Linked DNA regions of Styela clava. The protein of the gene in region 1 interacts with the protein of each later gene in a pairwise test. Links are inferred from orthologs where the notes say so. Each region holds a gene or a part of one and is shown on either strand. Other genes may lie near its edges. The genes, in order: DNA replication complex GINS protein SLD5-like and DNA replication complex GINS protein PSF1-like.

Evidence for each region.
Region 2: the proteins of DNA replication complex GINS protein SLD5-like (region 1) and DNA replication complex GINS protein PSF1-like interact in a two-hybrid assay, tested with the Drosophila melanogaster proteins (2 studies listed by BioGRID). The link is inferred for Styela clava from reciprocal best matches to the Drosophila melanogaster genes Sld5 and Psf1.

What each region holds. Positions count from the first base shown.
Region 1 is NC_135258.1:9,238,630-9,248,723, forward strand, and holds DNA replication complex GINS protein SLD5-like, read right to left. Parts: upstream 4,623-10,094; 5' UTR 4,531-4,622; coding exon 4,429-4,530; intron 4,280-4,428; coding exon 4,154-4,279; intron 3,178-4,153; coding exon 3,005-3,177; intron 2,335-3,004; coding exon 2,246-2,334; intron 1,747-2,245; coding exon 1,559-1,746; 3' UTR 1,299-1,558; downstream 1-1,298. Other genes in the region: estradiol 17-beta-dehydrogenase 11-like, read left to right, coding at 28-115.
Region 2 is NC_135253.1:5,300,915-5,310,445, reverse strand, and holds DNA replication complex GINS protein PSF1-like, read right to left. Parts: upstream 4,577-9,531; 5' UTR 3,918-4,576; coding exon 3,843-3,917; intron 3,539-3,842; coding exon 3,474-3,538; intron 3,094-3,473; coding exon 2,992-3,093; intron 2,776-2,991; coding exon 2,685-2,775; intron 2,276-2,684; coding exon 2,192-2,275; intron 1,745-2,191; coding exon 1,571-1,744; 3' UTR 1,375-1,570; downstream 1-1,374. Other genes in the region: uncharacterized protein LOC120326422, read left to right, coding at 5,615-5,737, 6,662-6,794, 8,031-8,078, 8,573-8,743, 8,828-8,895, 9,445-9,531.

The DNA.
Region 1 (10,094 bases):
TTACTTTTGTATACAAACCTTTATCAGGTCTATCATGACACATGCTGCTGAAGAAGCATTGTTTGATTTTATTGATCCGCAATGCGATAAAGTTGATATGAAGAAGCATACCTAATTTTTTACTTAATTAATATACCTACCTCTAATTTGTGGTGCTGTCATTCATCAATAATCTATGCAAAATTTCAATTTTTAATCTAAACATCATGATGCAAATGTAATTTTCAAACTAATTTTTTCATTTCTTGTCTTCATCATATTATGTAAAAGAGAGATTTGATTTCACAAATAATGTCAACTCAACACTATAAAGCATTTGAAGCAACAGAAACATTTCAATAATAATTGGTTATCATTATTTGTGAGATATAACTATCTGCTCAAATTTTATTCGGAAATTTTATTCGGAGACTTCCTTCATTTTCGCGAGGTTTTGTCATTTCAGGTGAAAAATCCTCAAACGTTAAATTTTGTTTTATGCATTTCATTTACAAATTCAATCAAGAAACGTCACCAATAATACTTACAGCCATGATAGTTTTTGGAAAATAGACAGTTATTCAAATTTTTAAAATAATTGACTTTTCATGTAATACCCATTGAATAAAATTTGAGTGGTTCAATGTGAATCTATTTCTTATGTATAGCAGGATATTCATACTAATTCTGCGAAGTTCCATCAGTGGATAAAAGGGAAAAAATGATCTTGATAAGAATAGAATGAAAAGGTTAGTTTACCTGTGCACAGAACACGTTTGAAGCTAAGTATGTTTACAAAAGTAAATTAGTATGTGCGTGGTTAACAATGCTACAATCATCAAATTCATTAGTACATATGTTATATGGTGTTTCTCCAGTTTGAATACACAATTTTACGGCTGAAAAGGTCCATTTCAAAGTATTGACTCACCTAAAAGAAACGTCTTCAACTTACTGCCAAAAAGATTCCTTCAAATCACAATTGAAGAAAAAAATTTTCTGCAATTACTCTAAATATGTCGTGTTGGTGCTGAGTAGAACGTTGTCTATACATGATTAAATTGTGGTTTCCAAGGAAAATTTTATTGACAGTCCCAAGTATTACTGTCACTCAAACTTGTTCATCGCATTGCTATGAAATCTACTATGAATCGGACCTCTACTTGCAACAGCAGCGAGGTTTTGAACTTTTAGCCAACACCACACCATAACCAGACTCCAAAAATTGGGCCACATTGTACCATGAAATTTAATATATGTGTAAAAAGTAATATGATTGGAAGAAGACATTTTGCTCAGAATGTCAATCGCCAGTAGAAGAGGTTCAAACCAATACTTTAATTTCAAGTAATCAAAGTTACAGAAAAATAAACTTTACAGCATTTAAACAGAAATTCCTCACAAAAATCTTTAGAAAATACAGTACAGTATCGAGCTATCCATACAACTGAAAGCTGTTCATTTTCAACCAGTGGAAACAAGCCTTCATCCTTAGCTTCGCAGCAAGGTTTCTTCCATTGAGAGCTTCCTCGAACATATCACAGTGCGCGTTGCCATGAGTCCTTATCAACATCAGTAATCATAACAATATCACAGCTCCATTTTGTACCAGTTCAGCAATAGGTTTATATCTGATTAAAAATTGTGATCCTTCATCTAAATCTACTCTATCTGATGTCTGATCATCTGCGTCTTCCTCTACAATAACACCATCTTCTTTTCGAATCGCTTTTAGGAATACATAATGGTCGAGGTTTGGTGCGTGAACTGTAACGAAATAGAAATTTTTTAATAAGGGTATTTGTACACCTCAAGCTCTGTAGCAGACTATGCACAAGTACATTTTATTCTGCCACAGAGAAAATGTTAGCATGTAAAATTTCACTTTTCACTCCATAAATGCTTATATGGTTAAATTTGGTGTTACTAAATTTGGAAGATGAAGAATCGTTAATTAGGCTGTAAAAATTGTATATATAATTCATTCTACTACATATTCCCAGACAAGCTACCAAATCGAACAATAGCTTGTGAGTCCCATTGAAAAAATATACCAACTAGAATCATCGTCCCATACACAATGTGTCCAGTAATGAGATATACTGTCAGGTATGGTCATACCCTCATAACACAAGTTAAAAACCACTCATTGACCACAGAAATTGTAAATCTCTCTTACACAATATCCACACACACACTTGGTTAAAATTTTCTGGCTATCACAATTGAACTGCGACAAAAATGTAGCTACAAACAGTGTTCTCACCTGTTGTTGAAAGCTCTACATTCTGCATTACTCTTGGCATATGATTGAGCGCAACTGTTTTCATATGCGTTTCTATATTTGCAGAAAGCCTGAACAAAACAAAAGCTGCAGGTAGCAACATCAACAATACACCTTACGTATATATATAATTGGGTTGGAGGACATAATAAACTTTAATGTCCAATTGAAGTAACTCGGGTACAGTCAAGTAGAGAAGTTTAATGAGTCCAAAAAACGTGGATTGACACACTAGGTCGACAATTTATCCAACCTGGAGATAAATTTGATTGTTTTTGGAAAGAAATTTTACTTTGAAATTGATGACTTTTTTAGCATTTTTGGAATATCTAGTCATACAATCATTCAAAATATTGAAAAATCCAGATTGCAAGTTACGCATATCATTTGCTAATGATCCAACAACATACAATAGCAGAGTTCTTAAGTGTAGTGAGGAAGGAATGTTTCAAAAAAAAATGCAATGCTCAATACCTTGCCAGGTTCCTCAGCTCTTTTATACTAAATGGTGTGGAATATACACACGTAATTCATGTATGACAAACATTCATAAAAATAAAGATGCTTATAATAACACGAAATGGCATTACCTCGTCAAGTGGAGATTTACCAATGAAGCACTCTGTCTTACCCCCGAGCATAGGTAAAATAAAATTGATGGAAAATGGATATCAAGGACTCCACGATCCCAACTTAAAATCAGGTCAACAGTGATTTATAATTCAGAATTAAACGACTCACTCTTTTGCAAAAGCAAATTCTTCTGGAGATAATCTGGATGGTTCATCTTCAGATCTTGTTTTTTCTCTTTCAAGAAATACTGGTCCATGTATCTCAATCTTCTTGAGTCTACACCTCAGATAACTACTCAGAACATAACGTATACGATCCAGTTCCATTCTGTGAATACTAACCTAAAATATTAACAATAATAAATGACAAATGAAAGAAATAGGCCCATTAACATATTACAAACATTCATTAACCCTTTCCGTGCGGTGGGCACGTATACGTACCCATGACAAAACTCGCTAGATTGCGGCGGGTACGTTGATGTACTCCACTGTTTTATTTAGCAATCGGTCGCAAACTGTTGGTCTAGTTTTTCCGGATTTTAGTTTATTGATAAGTCTTCGAGATTAACATAGGCGACGGTAAATCTCGCTTTCGTTTACCATGGAAATTTTATTTGCGGCGGAACGAGGGAGTGTTTTTGAAATTTATGCAAATTTGGGTGTTTGGGTGTAATAGAAGACATATTATCCCTTCCATCTACCAAAGTATTTTGAGTTAGATAACGAAATTGCTACAGCAATATTATGCTATTGTTTGCCAACCAAGAAGCGGTAACAGTAGAGGATTTAGCGAATATTTCTATTTTTTATCACGGTTTGAAGTTTCAACACCCAAGAAAAAAATGCCTTTTTTCTATCTGGTTTGTGACTCAGACCACCCCTTTTAAAAAAAATTTTAATCGCCAATTGCAAGCTCTTTAAATAAGCTTTCCAACGAGCCGTCAGTGAGCAGCAGAGGATCAATACTTTTTCGTTAGTCGATCGATTAGTTGTTGGGGTACAAATGCATAAAGTCGGCGTAGCAAATACGATTATTTAATAAAAAATAAAAATCGCATGGAAAGGGTTAACTACTGTTGTAATGAAGTTGATTCAAATTCATTCAAAACCCTAATGCACAATAAGCCAATGTCATCCAAAAATTATCTGTCTACAATCCTATAATAAAATTCCCTTGTGTATATTGAAATAATAATTTAAAAAAAAAAATTAAAAAAAAATACATCTGACTTTATCAAATGCACATATTTACTTCTGAATTCTGAATACATCAATATATTATTTCCTGAATTGACATGTCGATAAAACAGCATACCTTTATATCCCCCTTCTTAGCTTGTTTCAAATTTCCTTCCATTTCCGCAACAAGTTCCATCACGCATTCAACAATTTCAGATTTACATTCCAATAAATCCGGTGCAAGTTTTTCATTCTGCCATGCCTGCAAAAAATTGAAAATGCAAAAAACTAAAAAATTATCTTACAGTCGTTTGAATATGAGATGTCATTTGTAATTTACATTTTGTAGCAACTGATTAAACATGCGTTAATAGAAATGTTTATATGACAGTATGACCTTTACCAATTTACCTGTTCCAACTTTTTTAATACTTCTGCGGCTGTCAATTGTTCTTCCTCAGCATCACTTTGATTAGGAGCCAATATATCACTGATATTCAGATCATCGGCCATATTTTATTATAGCAATAACTAGGCTACTACCGGTATCTAAACATACAATACTCATAGACTCAAGATATGCACATCTTAAACTCGTACTCGTATTAATACTGTAATAATACACCAGTTATGTGGGAGAGATTGTCGAACACTCACGTCGCGAGGTCCCTTAACAGCTGACCTTTTACTGTTTTACCAATATTTACCAATAGCATAAGCTATTATTTACTGAGATGACATTTAATCCAGCAACCTCAAGACACTAGTGAATTTTATTTTATTTTTTTGAACTAATCTGCAGAGCGAAACCTGTGATAGATAACCAAGCCGATTTCTCGCATTGGGGAATTCCCTTAGAATATTCGCGCGCTTCATCTTGCGGCGCCAAGTGTACATTTCTGGGATAGGATTGAATTTCCATACCATCCCGGTGGAGGAGGAAGGTCGATAATACGACTCAATCATATAGTAAACTATTGCCTCTTGTCCAGTCTATACCGTATGGGATTAGTTAGTCAGGTATTTGTTTCAGATGCATGTACTTGATAGTGGGGGATGTTGTAACGTAACCGACCAGCCGTCGTGTGAACCACCCTCAGTGAGAGGAGAGCTGCAACCCTATCGCACATAACTATCCCCGCATGGTATTGGAATCTGTGAAACTACCAGGGTGATCAGAATTGCGGTGGCGACCGTATTTCTAGATGGCGAATTCAATTTAAAGATGATGAAGATTACGGATATATACCGGTACTCGTGATCATTCCCTACCACTGTATACTGTTTCCCATCAAATTGTTTAAAATTTCACGGACGCTAACAAATAATGAAAGAAAAGTGTTTTCATCTCTTCTGCGCTCTTTCCCTCTCTTCTGCGCTGTTTCGCGTTCTTCTGCGCTCTACTGCGCGCTTCGCGCTCTATTCAGTGTTGTTTCGCTATTTTCTTACGTCGCCTAGACATGTAAGGTAAGGTAAAGGGTTTAATGGCGTCTTTGACAACTCGGTCTTTTACGCCAAATTTCAAAAGGAGTAGTCAGAATGATACAATAAAAACATGTTTACAACTCTCGTTTGGTGGATATAGCAAATTTAATAATTATTGGAATCAAATTAGGAACATTGAAAATACTAATAATTTCCCAGGGTACATTCATTTTTGCTGCTTCACGTCTTAATTCGCATCGTAAATTATTATACTTGGGACAATATAAAATAAAATGGGAAACAGTTTCATTTGTGTCACATCGACTACATTGCCCTGTGGGATGTAGCCCTATTTTAAATAAATGATAGTTAAGTCTGATATGTCCAGTTTGAAGACGAAAAAATATTATTTCTTCTTAATCATTTAATGGGCTATGTGAGGTCGAAAGTTTTTGTAATGGCTTGCAGTATCGTTTGCTTGATATGTTAAATTCCATTTCGCAAGACATGCTTGCTTGCACAATGTCTTAGCTTCTTTTAAAGACCGTTGAAGAACAGCATTAATGACAATTTTATTTGCTCCGTCTTTCGCCAGTCGATCCACTGCCTCATTACCGCTAATACCAATATGTGCTGGTATCCACAGAAACTTGATATCGGTCGTGTGACAAATAATAGTATAAAGTAGTTGTATTTTTGTTGATAAAAAATGTTTAACATTCCAAATATCCTGAATGCTTTCCAAGGCAGAAAGACAATCGCACAATATTAATACTTTTGAAGGCCTATTTTGCGATATCCATATCAAACTTCGATATATGGCATATAATTCCGTACAGTAGGAAGTAGATAATGGATCGAGGCGGAATTTATTCGAAAATTCGTATTCTGGAATAAAAAAAGCAGAACCACAGCGAGTTTCAGATTTTGAACCGTCAGTATAGATCTCCAGGTAACCTGGATATTCCATTTCAATATACTCCAAACATTGTAACACAAAAACAGTAGGATTGTTGTATGTAACAGACATAGTTGATAAAACTGTATCCACTTCAGGCGGAGGCATATTCCAGGGTGGAATGGGAAAAAATTTAGTGTTGTTGACAACTATGTTAGAAAAAATTCGAGAGGTCGAGAGCATATTAAAGGTTACAAAAGAATCAGAGTCTGGATAGTACTCATGCCAAGACTGCTTAATGAGTGATTCATTAGGATGATCCTTGTGAGAAAGGAGCAAGCATTTGTATGCAAGGCAACAGTTAAGATGTTGTATATGGAGCGGCATTTCGTTACAAGACTCTTGAAGTGATATTATTGGAGTGCTCTTCATAGAGCCACCGCAAATACGTAGACACGTATTTTGTATTTTTTGCAACTTCTGTAAAATATATGGCGAAGTAAAATGGTATGCTTCAATGCCATACATCAAAATTGATCTGATGAGTGCCCTATATAGTGTTAAAAGGGGTGATTCCTGATAACGAATGAAAAAGCATCATCATTTTGCGGTCTCCTCCACCCTCTTTGTTTCTTTATTATAATCACACTTTTTTCTTGCCACGTCAAAAATTTTCTGCGCTCAGGCGGTCTTTTCAAAGTTGACGCTGTCAGGTGAGCATTGATTTCATGTTTGTGAATTTTTAGGATCAATCGTTTATGTGCATACTTTTTCATAATACGCTAATTTTTTCATAATCCAACGCTTGTATCTTCAGCCATTTTTCATAGCTGTACTAATGCAATTAAACTAAGCTTTGGCCTACAGTTATTGATCCAAATGTCTACAAAGTGGAATTGAGATTACAAGTTCTGAAATTGGTGAGATAATCTAAATCAGCAATGATTATTAGAGATAATTTCATTCTTTCAGTTAGTTAGCCCATAGCGTAATACTAAATGATACCTAGTGTGTAATTATTGAATCAAAGACGACGACGTAAACAAATGGAGGCGATCGAGATCAATGAAATGTCCCAAGTTAGAACAAGTAAGAAACCTGAAATCGTATTCAAATTTACACTTTGGATATATTCCATATATACGAATTGCCCTCATCTTACTATTAGCTTATGTTAGCTTTTATTCAACCTATATAGTGCATCTTAACCATGTTACATATTTCAGTGTTTATACAAACTGACTGAACGTAAACATGCTGCGAATGTTGACATCTGAAACTGCTTGAGCGGAACAAAAGCTACGGTTAAATAAATATTCATTAAATTATGGATTACAGTTATAACAAGGCCATAATATAGCACTAGATTGAATTGAGAGTATACTTGGGTTGAATCAAAGACCCCTGGGAAGATATGCCTGTGCAATGATGTTTGGACCATTTCATAAATGAGATCTACATTCTACATAATTGATGAATTAAAAACTCAACAGAGATGCGGTTGTGTTGGGATGTTCCGGATATAGTACAGGTGATATTATTTGCCCAATTTTTTTTTTAAATTACTTCTCTTGTCACTTCTTTTGTTGTTTATATCCAAACATTTTTTTGTCATTTTAAGAATTTACGTGGGCCAAAGTAGCGTTCTCTTTTTCCATATCTTTCAGTTATACTAATGCAGATAAACCTAGGTTTAAGCTACAATTGTTGATTCTGTAACGTAAAAGTTGTGTTGCTGCTATGAATGGTCTTCTATCTGCGAACTTATCCGATAGTCCCGTCGACGACTTTATATTAGACTTCTAGAATCTGGACTCCGATATAAAGCAATATTTAATCAGAAGGTTCTATTGGGAATTCTCGAATGGGATAGTTGCGGGTTGCCCACTATATTTCCTACCTTCTCTCTCTTTTTTTTCTTCTTTTCTGTCTGTGCTATTTTGGGTTGAGTTGGGTTATTTAAAGGCTTTTGGAATTACTCTGTTTTGTGAATAAATTTTCTATCTTTATTTATTACTTTCTCGGAAAGAAGGTTTATTTTCAACCGATCAGAAACTAGTTCGTTTCGTTTTTGATAGGTAAAATTTTGGGAACATAGTATTAACATAGTATTAAAGCGATGATTGTTTCCAAATTCCTGACTCGAAGACTCATGGAAGTTTAGTTGAAGAGAGGCGATCAAGGATTAATAAGGTAACTGTTAATTTATTTACATTTATGCCCAACCGCATGGCAATATAGTATGGTGAAGAAGAAATGGTGAAATAAAAGTGATAAAAACACGCTGTTGTACATCCGTTAACTGCTGTCCTTGCCTGGTCTGTTTCTCTCGTATCGCCGAATCGGCATAACTTTGCAAGATACTTTGATGTCAAATAACATCACATGTGATTGGCAGATGTTTCACAGGCAAATACATAAAACATATTACCAGGTATATATATAGTTAACAAAAGGCAAGCAGACAGATTGCCTGGAACGTCTAAGCCGCTAACGTTTAAGCCGCGAACCTTTTTAGAATTTGTCAAGTTTCGCGCCCCACCTCAAAAATAACTTGCTGTATAAATAACGGATAGTTAAACGAAAGTATACTTTATTCAAAAATACATGTTGAAAATACGTAAAAGGAAAGTAAATATCTAAAATAAGGCAGGCGAGATCAATATAACAAATATTTATATTTTTAATTAGCTAAACGCAATCTAAAAAATTGTCTACGCCCCTTGTGCGCGATCGCCACTGCTCTTTACGATCAGCAACTATCTAACTTTATTTTATCATGTAGATTCTGTCCGGATTGCGGAACAAGTGGATTGAGGCGACAACGGATCTCTCAAATCATCTGTCTGTTCAAATTAGGCATTTTTATGATTGCGCATTGTTTCAGCTAGAATATTTGATATTGTTTTATAGTCTTTTATAGCTGTGAAGTCGGGATGTCGTTTAATTTAATTAGCAGTCTTGTGTACTTGAAAGTGTTAATTAAGGCGCATTTGTCATTGTTGGGCGAAGTCTTAAAACCCAATAGTTCATTACCAGTTCACAAGTTATTCCGTTTAGAGAGTTTTGGTAATATTGGTGAGCTAATATTCCAGTTGCGAAAACGCACTTCTTTGCCTCGTTCATCGCTGCTTTTTCCTCAATACACCACAGAAATAACTATAGTTACTGTTGCTATTTGCGGCATTAGGTACACAGACTTGCAGAAGAATTTACTCAAGTTGCCGGTCTGGAGTCTAAAATCGTTGGACCTCAGATCGTTTTGTTATTATGTTATTATTGGGAATCTTTTTCTTGTTTCTGTGATGAAAAAATAGCCTTTCTCTATTAACTATACCAGTCAAAATTAACAATTGCGCGCGTTGTGGAGTAGTCTACTATGACAGATTGCATATTCGTACTACTTCGTTTTGATTTTCGTGCCCATATATTTGAGCATCACTATCGTGATGTATCAAGTTGAAAGCTTAGTTTCGAACAGGGGCGTAGCCAGAGGGTCAAATCCCCCCTCCCCTCTTTTGGAATGTGTAAAAACGACGACTAATAGGCGCGATTTGCCACGCGCCGAATAATCGCTGCTCCGGATGCCGTCAAGTAGAAGCGACGTGATTGGTTGTGACTAAGGCGATTTATGGACCTTTTCCCGACCTTTTAAAGAGTGGTTTTGCGAGTTGTCGCCTGTAAAATGGGGTATTTTGCTTCAAACCATTATTCTGATTCATAGCATTCAATAATATGTTTTGTAAAAGTACCG
Region 2 (9,531 bases), on another chromosome or scaffold:
TCTCCAGTTTGTATCCTAAAATTATAAATTTCCTTTTTTGAGTAATGGAGAATATTTTGGGACTAGATTCCAAATTGCCGATCAGAGCTGCAGCATATAATCGGACATTTAAACCATTTCTGTATGATGTTGTATACTTATACCTCCTGTTTGAAGATGAGTCAATATGTTATGAAACTCACAAAAAGGTATATTCAATCAGCATTCAACCTTTTTCATATTTTGCAACTTCTTGCATGTGAAGATGTTTGTCACAAAGAGATAGTTAAATGAAAATTCCTCATTGAAAATATCAATCAATTCGGGCTAATGATTCCGCATTCATAATTTGTCAAGTGCAACCAGAGACTACTCAAAACCAGTAATATGTGTTTTGTTCTGTCAGTGAATTTTTGTATCTGTCACCGCCTACTTTGATGCCATGGTAGTTAGTTATTAATATTGCTATGTAACTTATACCTTTATGTAAAGATTAAAATATGACCTTGGGTGAAATCTGTCTACTTGTTGTATTCATTTGTGTGGGTTAGTTAACTTCTACAGATGACATGGGAAAACTATGCGGGCCAAATCAGACTTGTTGGTTGACATGGGAAAACTATGCGGGCCAAATCAGACTTGTTGGTTGATTCAATCTGGCTGGCCTGATGCTGCCACAACCAAAGCTGAAACTAGATTTTGATGTTTTAGCTAAAAAATAGCTCAATGAATTTGTTGAGATTTCGATTAAATTTAGTTTTGGAACAAGGCTTATTGTTTTCTATGTTTGCTTTTGTTGCTCTGTAAATATTGTTCATAAAATGTAATTTTTTACGCCACAGTTACATGGCCTGCCAGTCTAGGTGGGCAAAATTGTTGGCCCATAGTCCAAAAAACCTTGCCCACTCTTGTTTTAGAGGGTAGTAGAAGAGAGAAGCAGTATTTTATTCATTACCATGTGTAAATGATACACTAATAAAGAGAAACAAAACAATATTATTAGACACAGGTAAAGGGCTCGCAGAGAACTGCAGTGGTTATTTAGTTCTAACAGCCTATGATGCATTGCTGTTTACAATGGTTTCATGTACATAAGTCAAAAGATATGGATTGCGGGGCAAAAAATATGTAGTATTTTTATTACCTTTTAAATAACTGAGCATTGAGGGACTACACGATTTGAATATGCCAGGCAGGTTGTCATGTTTTAAAAATATTTCCAGTCATTGAAAGCTTCTACATTATAGTTTTGGTTTAGTTTCCATAAAACTGCCAGAAGGGAGATGCGCTCTCTAGTTGAACACTAGGTAATCATAGGTGCGGTGGCGAGAGCATTTCCAACTCTAAGCATGATGTGTCACACTGCCAAGCCTACAATAAATGCAATCTGGACTCAAGTCAGACAGATATATATTGTTCTCATGAAGTACAAAATTTCATCCTAAAGCTCTAACAAAGTATTATTTGGCCATCGGTACAGTAGAAAATATCACATGCTGCAGCGTCGTCTAGGCTGCATATTCATCCACCAACTTCACTGGCATGGTAACCAAAACCCCTATTCAAATCAATAAGGCATTAGCTCAACCATTCATGTGACATGAGTTAGAATCCCCTGCCTAATCAAATGTTCACATTGTGATCGAGGTAGAAAATGTTGGCTGTTTTTTCTTAGCAAAACCACAGTTCCATCATCCATTTCAAATTGTCCATGATCCTCCACACACCTAACTTCAATGTATAATGACTTGGGTGGCGTCATGTCCTGAATATAAATGAAATTGAATCAGAAAAATGCAAGAAAATAATAATATAATATACAGGAATGGCCAAAACCCAATATTTTACTATTTCGAATACAATTTGAAAAAATATACACACAGCTTTATTATGGAAAGAATTCTTTACTTTTATTTAGAAATATTCAGATAGAAAGCATTCAAATTAGTATTCAATATATATAATTTAAAGCGGTAAATTAAATTATTCCTGTTTGGAAATTTATCGCTCATTATAAGCATTTGACATGAACTAATTCAACTTCTGCCGCAATAAAATCGAATTCAATCATATCTCAAATATTTTGCATAAAAAATCCAATTCACAATAATTTCTGAAAATTACTCCACCAATCCAGTACATATTCGATATTCCATAATCTAAAATTAGAAGAGTAAATGATTTGGTTTTGCTATCCATCTTTGATACCAACCTGTGTTAGATCAAGACCACCCATTCCACCGATGGATCGCATGTAGTTGGCAAGAGATCTGTTGTATCTCGTAAACCATTGAATCTGATTTGATAGAAAAACACAACTTTTATTGCCAACTGGAGTTAGACTCATTGACATACTTACAATGGCATTTCGTACAAAGTTTTGATGGTGATTGTAATCAACGAATCTGTGAATGACTATAATATTTAATTATGACAAAAGCATTATATTGAAATAAACCTGGTAAGAAATATTTTATCATAGGTCACAAAACCATTTTGTTATAAATTAGTTACTCCAATTACAAAATACTATTTCAGTACTTCATAGCTGTTTCGGAGTATTTACAAATATAGCTTATTACTATGCTATATGATTGATAAACTAGTAAATATACTTGAAAATTATTTAGATAAAAATTATTTTGAAATTGATACAAACATGAAAAAGCACAATTAAGTAGCCTACATGTATAGATTATACTCACTTCTTTCTCCGATAAATTACTCTTGATTTCTGGAGGTAAAACACTACCAAATTCCCACCTCATATCTCTGATTTTATGAAGTCTATTATACCTGAAAAATGATTTTTGCATCTGCATTCATCTGTTGCAATCTGACAAAATAGCTTGTTGGTAACTTAAGAGAATGTAAGGGGCTTATTTATCACCCTAAAGTCATGTCAGGTACTAGTTATCAAGCCCGGTCAATGTTTTGAAATCTTCAATTTTAATATTAAAAGGACTTCAACAGATTGTTATACACAGATATTTTAAGCAAAATAATACATACAAATAGGCCAGCAGGCAACGCTTGTTTCGTTCCAATCCACTGTGTCGTATTTTAACTGCTGCCATTTTACTTCGATCTGAATCTGGATTCACTAACTCAGCACTGGCATTAAAAAACATTGTTCAAATCAAATAGGTTATTGTACGACACATAAGTATATTCAGGAGATCATATCTTATTAATTAATCTTTTAATTCGAATAAGAAAATTTGTTTTAAGAGTAGACCATGCTTATGATACTTGTGAACTAACCCACAGCAGACTGATTTGAATTTCTTTATTAACCTCGTTGACAAATGAGAATGCCATATGCTATACTGTTTTCACTTCCAATGGGCATATCTTTTATAATCTCTGATACTATGGACACCTTTTTACCATAACATTATTTTTTATTTGCTTTATATGTGTGATGTTGCTAAGGCAACTCTCATATATGAATATTGATTGGTAGAATAGGTTCCATTCATTGTCCAACTTACACATCTTTTTGATTAGAGTCGTAAAGAACTTGCATTTCTTCTAGTACTTGTCTAACTCCATCTTCCTGCAAAATAACAATAAGCAAAACATTAGAAGAGACTTTTCAACTCTCACAGCTAGGGTTCAAATCCAATGCCAATCCTTTCACCAAGTGTACAATGAAATTTATAAGGTTCACTTGAACCTGAAACATAGCAACTGCCTGTAATGAGTCTTGTTCGGAGCCAAGATATGTAAACACCCGATGAAAATACCACAGCCTTGTTACCAAAGAAACTTTTTATATATAAATATATTGAATTTAAAAGTTAGCAGGCTGCTGCTCATATTAGGCCTTAAAGGTGTGAGTGAAATTTAAAAAAACTCACATTGTAAGGCGTTATCGGTCCATCTTTATTCCTGTACAAGTCTCTAATGAGTTCTAAGCCTTTCTCACCAAACATTATAGAAGGCTTTCAAGACCATTCGAATCTAGAACAGCTACTTTTCAATTTATATTGCAGACTGAAGGTGTGCTTAGCTCAAAAGTTTTCATTAAAATGAAACAGATTTATTTTATTCTGCAGTGGAAAAAATATTTTATATACATACCTGTGGGACATTTTGGTCAGCCAATCTAATATTTGTTATTACTGTGTAAACCAAAGATTTAAATCTTAATAGGCCATATATGTATGTTCATAAGCCTCAAAAAATGTGAAAGTATCCACATAATAATTAAACAGTATAACAGAGAGGGGATACATGTTCAATGCCTTACTGGCCAAGACACAGTTGAACAACCTAATGTACCCATAAAAAGCATTTACCGGCAGTTCAGAAATTGACAGTAAGTTGGGACCAGAACTGGTCATTATGAGACTGCGATTTAAAACAAGTTAAAAATAAAAAAACAATGGATAATTTAAAGAAATTAAACAAATTAGGGATTTGTAGAAATCTTTATATATGATTTGGAAAAAATCTATATAGGGAAAGAAACAATTGAGACACAATAGATTGGAGCAAAAATGTGGTTTTCCTTCTGGCGCAGCAGCCCTGAAATGACCAAGATTCACCATGTCCTGATGACATTCAGCTGTACTCCTGTACGATATTTATTGCTGTATTGTCACATGCAAAATCAAACCAAGCAATCATTTTTATTTGAAGGAAAAAAATTAGGAGATTCTCAATAAAAGGATTGTACGAACGCCAAAACTCCATGTGCAACAGGCCATATGAATTTTCGAAGGTGATGAAAAAGAGAAAACTTTGACAAATAAGGGAAAAACTTTGGCCCACGGTCGCATTTTCGCGCAGATGTCGAAATAACTGTCCTGCAGTCGATTCCTGCCACTTGACTTTTTCTAAACCTAACACAAAATGCATGCTTAACTTACATAAAGTTCATTAATAAATGTAAATTTCATAAATACTTTCCCTTGATAGACAACTCATCCTGTCATTCCAACCTGTCACTTAATTCATAAATTCACATCCAACCAACACGACCGACAGAAGAAAACAGCAACAAGACGTCGAAAAAATCGCGCGACTTGTTGTTGGACATTCTTAGTGACCCGTGAAGAAAACGTAAAGCAAGCGGTCGTCTCTCGTCGTCGATTAGGAGACATAACGTGCCCGTATTATTTTCAGAAATATCCAACATTTCGATTGGAAAGTAACGACTCTACGAACTTTTTCGTGTTCGCAATGTGTTCGAAACTTTTACACCCTGTCATTTTACAAAAAAATACGGGCGTGAATTGTATCACTCTCATACAGATTGTTTCATTTTGGTTGAAATTGTCCAATAATTACACTATTTTCACCAACTACTCGTAATACCCTGGCAAAAAACACTGACACTTAATCTATTTGTTTTTATAAGTTATTCAAAAAACAAATGAATGAATACTGGTATACAGTAACAATCGATTTTCCCAAATCTTTCTGGACTTTATTTTACCATGGCCGACTGTCATGCGTCGACCAAATGTTTTGCTCTTACTAAATGCGTGTACTTGACAGGTAATTCATCTTATTCATGTGCAAGTTTATTCTACTCTCAGACTCTATAAACCTTAAATTGATCTGTCTGTTGGTCAGTCTGAAACTAGTCTCCATTTAATCTTAGTAAGTTTCACTAATACCAAAGATGAATTTTAAGCGCAAAATCCCGAAGATGCGACAAAATTTTCTTCATTTCCAAATGAATGTTGGCTGCAACCTCCAGGATAGCTTGTCTCTGATTAAAAGACCAAGAAATCGTCAGAGCAAGGTAAAGTTGATCACATGTGGTTACACCATTAAAATAACTTTACCACCACTTGCTTACTTCTGCACCAATATTTATGTATCAATTTTATGAATTTATTGAACTGTTACAGACTATAATCTGTATTATTGACCAACCACTGTTTCAAGTGTTGATACTGAAAATGTTATTTAAAAGTCTTGAAATCCAATATTTTTACAACAATTACTGCTTAAAATATGGTTGGCTACAGATATTAAAATTTTTTTTTTTAGATAGTTTAATAACGCATTCTGCAGAATTATGACATGAGTCATAAAATAATGAACTTCTTTATCTCATGGCAGACCTGGTGCAACTGCTCTTATATGTCTGATTGAGGTCCCCCGCAAATGGAAAGCAGCTTCGATTTTAAGTGCCCATGATTATGTATTGCTTCTTGCAGCGTTTGAATAATCAACAGTTGCAGACAAGCCTCATCTATACAAATCCTTTCAAATCTCACATTTTCTCTGATAACGTACCACACATGGTGTTGAACTGTCAAAAACTTTTATACCCCTTTTGTACCCCTATTATAGCCTATTGTTTGTCTTTTAAAATTCCCATTCCTAATAAACAAACCATTCACACTTGAAGGTTCACGAAGTCCCTTCAACCCTACTAATGCTCTTTTATTTCACTCAAATTTCAAGCGTCCAAGGCACTCAGGTTCAAATGATTGAGACCATGCTTTCAAAAAACGAACATTTTCAATAGTTACTGTCAAGAATAGCCCTCAGGATTCAGGTTTTCATAAAATGGTATTTCGAACATTGTGATTAAAATTCTTTTTATATCCATTCTTATTCCCAAATCGTTCCTGGGACCATTTGAATATGAACCAAAATACAATACTCAACAATAATAACTATGCAATGGTTTCATGCAATTTCTCAATGATTTCAGAAGACCAAAACTGGAGTGAATCAACCAATTGCTAATTCTTCTTTGAGTTCCACACAAGAAACACAAAGTGGAATGTCAACATTATGTATGATAGAGGATGTTGGTCTTGATGCTGGTTTTAGTACTGATTCAGGTATTTTACTGAAAATTTATCAACCTTGCATTTGGGTGTTTATCAGAGCAAAAATGCACATTCCACCATATTGATCATGATTATTTTGTATCCGGGGATATTGCATTGATCTGAACAAAGTTAAAAGAAACACTGGTTTCTCCATGCTTCCGAATATTTCAACCTTTTTTGATTTTATGCAACTCATTTCTTTAAATGTGTCTGATAGGCTATTGTTATTTGTGTTATTGTGTAACTCTAAGCAAGCATGACGGTATATTATTTGTAAAATGGGAATGAAATATCTTAACCATAAACATCACAAACACTAAGTGATAATAAATTAATGTCATCTATTATTCCATTGAGCATGTTTAATCTTCACCCTAATTTGATTGTTTGAAAATTATTTACTTTCGATTTATCAAATATCGGTACTTAACTGAGTTCATTCTGTACATCACTGTATTAAGCATCCCGTGGTGCAGTAGATTAGCGCAGTCTATATAATTGTCATATATTGCTAAATGTAATATAATCGAGAGAACTAGGTGAAGACCACAAAATCTGCAATGACTGCCAGATCATTATGTTTTTAGAGGTTATCAGATTATTTTATTTTATTTATTGGGTCACAGGTTGCAAAACATTATTGTGTGATACCATGTCAGCCATTTCCAACTAAAAACCTTCTCGGGCTGCATATTACATTTCAGTTTTGTCACAGGCGCACATTAAATAATATGTCATGAATTACAGGTTAATTTTGTAGTTTACTTGAACAAAAAGAGATATGATTCTTCCCAACTTTTTTGTAACTGTCGGATTTTATTCACAAGCGTCCTCTCTTGTCGTTCCAGACATAACCTTGTTTCTGTAGCATCAAGCCTATAATATGCTGCATGATTTCGGTCGAATATTGCATCACAATACACTTGGGTGAATTCTACCTACGGTAAATTCTGTTGTAAATGCCTGAGTGAGGTTTAGTGTCGAATTATTCAATGATTGAGGTTCAGTGTCGAATGAATTTGTCTGCGGGCTGCGGGTCGGACACTGTTATACTTTGTGATTAATCCTACTTGAGCAAATTCGAAAAATGATTATGTGTTGGCTGCCTAGTTATCTGATAATGTCTCAATTCAAGCTTGTTTATCAATACATGGAGAGAGGTAAACATTGAACAACTTTGTGCATTTATTTGTGCACTGAAAATGTGTTTTTGATTTTAAACTTCATATCTGGTTTTTCATACAGATTCATCTATTGAAGAAACGCGGGATGCCTGTTCTGTTATGCCGACTGGTAATTTATTTTGCCAAGTTAAATATATACACTTTTTTTGACATGAGCTGTTGAGATTTTATTGTATTCTCATACATATGCAATAGTATTGTTGCAAAATTTACCAACATAAATTGTCTTTAATTAAGGCATGGTTTATGAACTTGCCATAATTAGCATTGCTAATCTTCATTCATCTTCAGCCAAACTTCATGCTTTTGTCATAATTTCAAGGATTGCTTGTAAATTGTAATGTAATCAAGTTCCTGCTCGTACCTAGATACATTGCCCCCAATAATCCCACACAATTCCAATTACACATGAAAATTCAGCTCAGCCTTCTAAATAATAGTTTTGGGCATTGTCCGCTGTTGTGCATGTTGCACCAGTATGTGCTTAGGTTGGCGCCACATGCTTGAGCGAACGTCTCATTATCTCTAACATTATAACGAACTTTAGATTTTTAGTTTTTTTTCCAATCAATCAAATATTTCTATAACTTTACTTTCTTCCAGAAAATGTTATACTACCAGACATCATCATCAATAAACCAGACTCTAGTCCAGCGCAAAATAATCTAGAAGATACCCTTCATTTTAACATAAAGAATTCAACAATGAATCAAAGTGCTACAGAAGCTGGTATAGAAGATATTGAAATGCAGGATTTGTCTCCTATAAAATCTAGTAGGTTTGATATATTATGTAGTATGGTAAGTTGCTTGTGTTCATAGTTTTTTTTCATAACCGAACCTATTTTTTTATTTTCAGAAGATAACAAAAAAAATAAAAGAATTAAATTACTTGACGTTGGTGACCAACTTTTATCACGTGCTTCCGTAAGTTTTTTTTATAATTCTAGTTATATTCGTAATTCTATTTACTAACTTTTTACTAAATCATATAAATTTGGCAAGTTTTTGATAACCTCTGAATAGTATCAACCAGTATCAGAGAGGAAATAATATCTAGAAGTGATTTCATTGGTATATAGTTCATGTGTGTATTCATGGATGTTACAGAAGCTTGACATCGAAGTTAGGAATAGCAGTATAAAGCCCCAATTGACATATGAATGACCTCCCCAGTGAAGGGCTATTGAACTTCCATAAAGGAACCTAGGGTTTGATTTGTAGGTTATTCATACAAGGCTTACTGCTAGTCAAGTGTAATTTTTTATGCAGAAAATTATATTTAAAGGGCTCTAGTCAAGATGAAATGCAATACAATCATCTATTAAAAACATGTCTGTGCCAATCTTGAAATGCTAAGCAATATATTTATTAGCCACAAAAATGATAATTATGGGGAATCATATATATAAGGAGGTGCTAGATAACTCATTTTGTGCTGGACGTAATTTTGAACAATTCTTTTTTCTTTTTTAGCTTCTATGTGAGAAATCATCTGTTTCAGAATCACATTCAACTGGTAACACACCCAGGCATATCAAAAAGGTGATGAATAAATTGAGA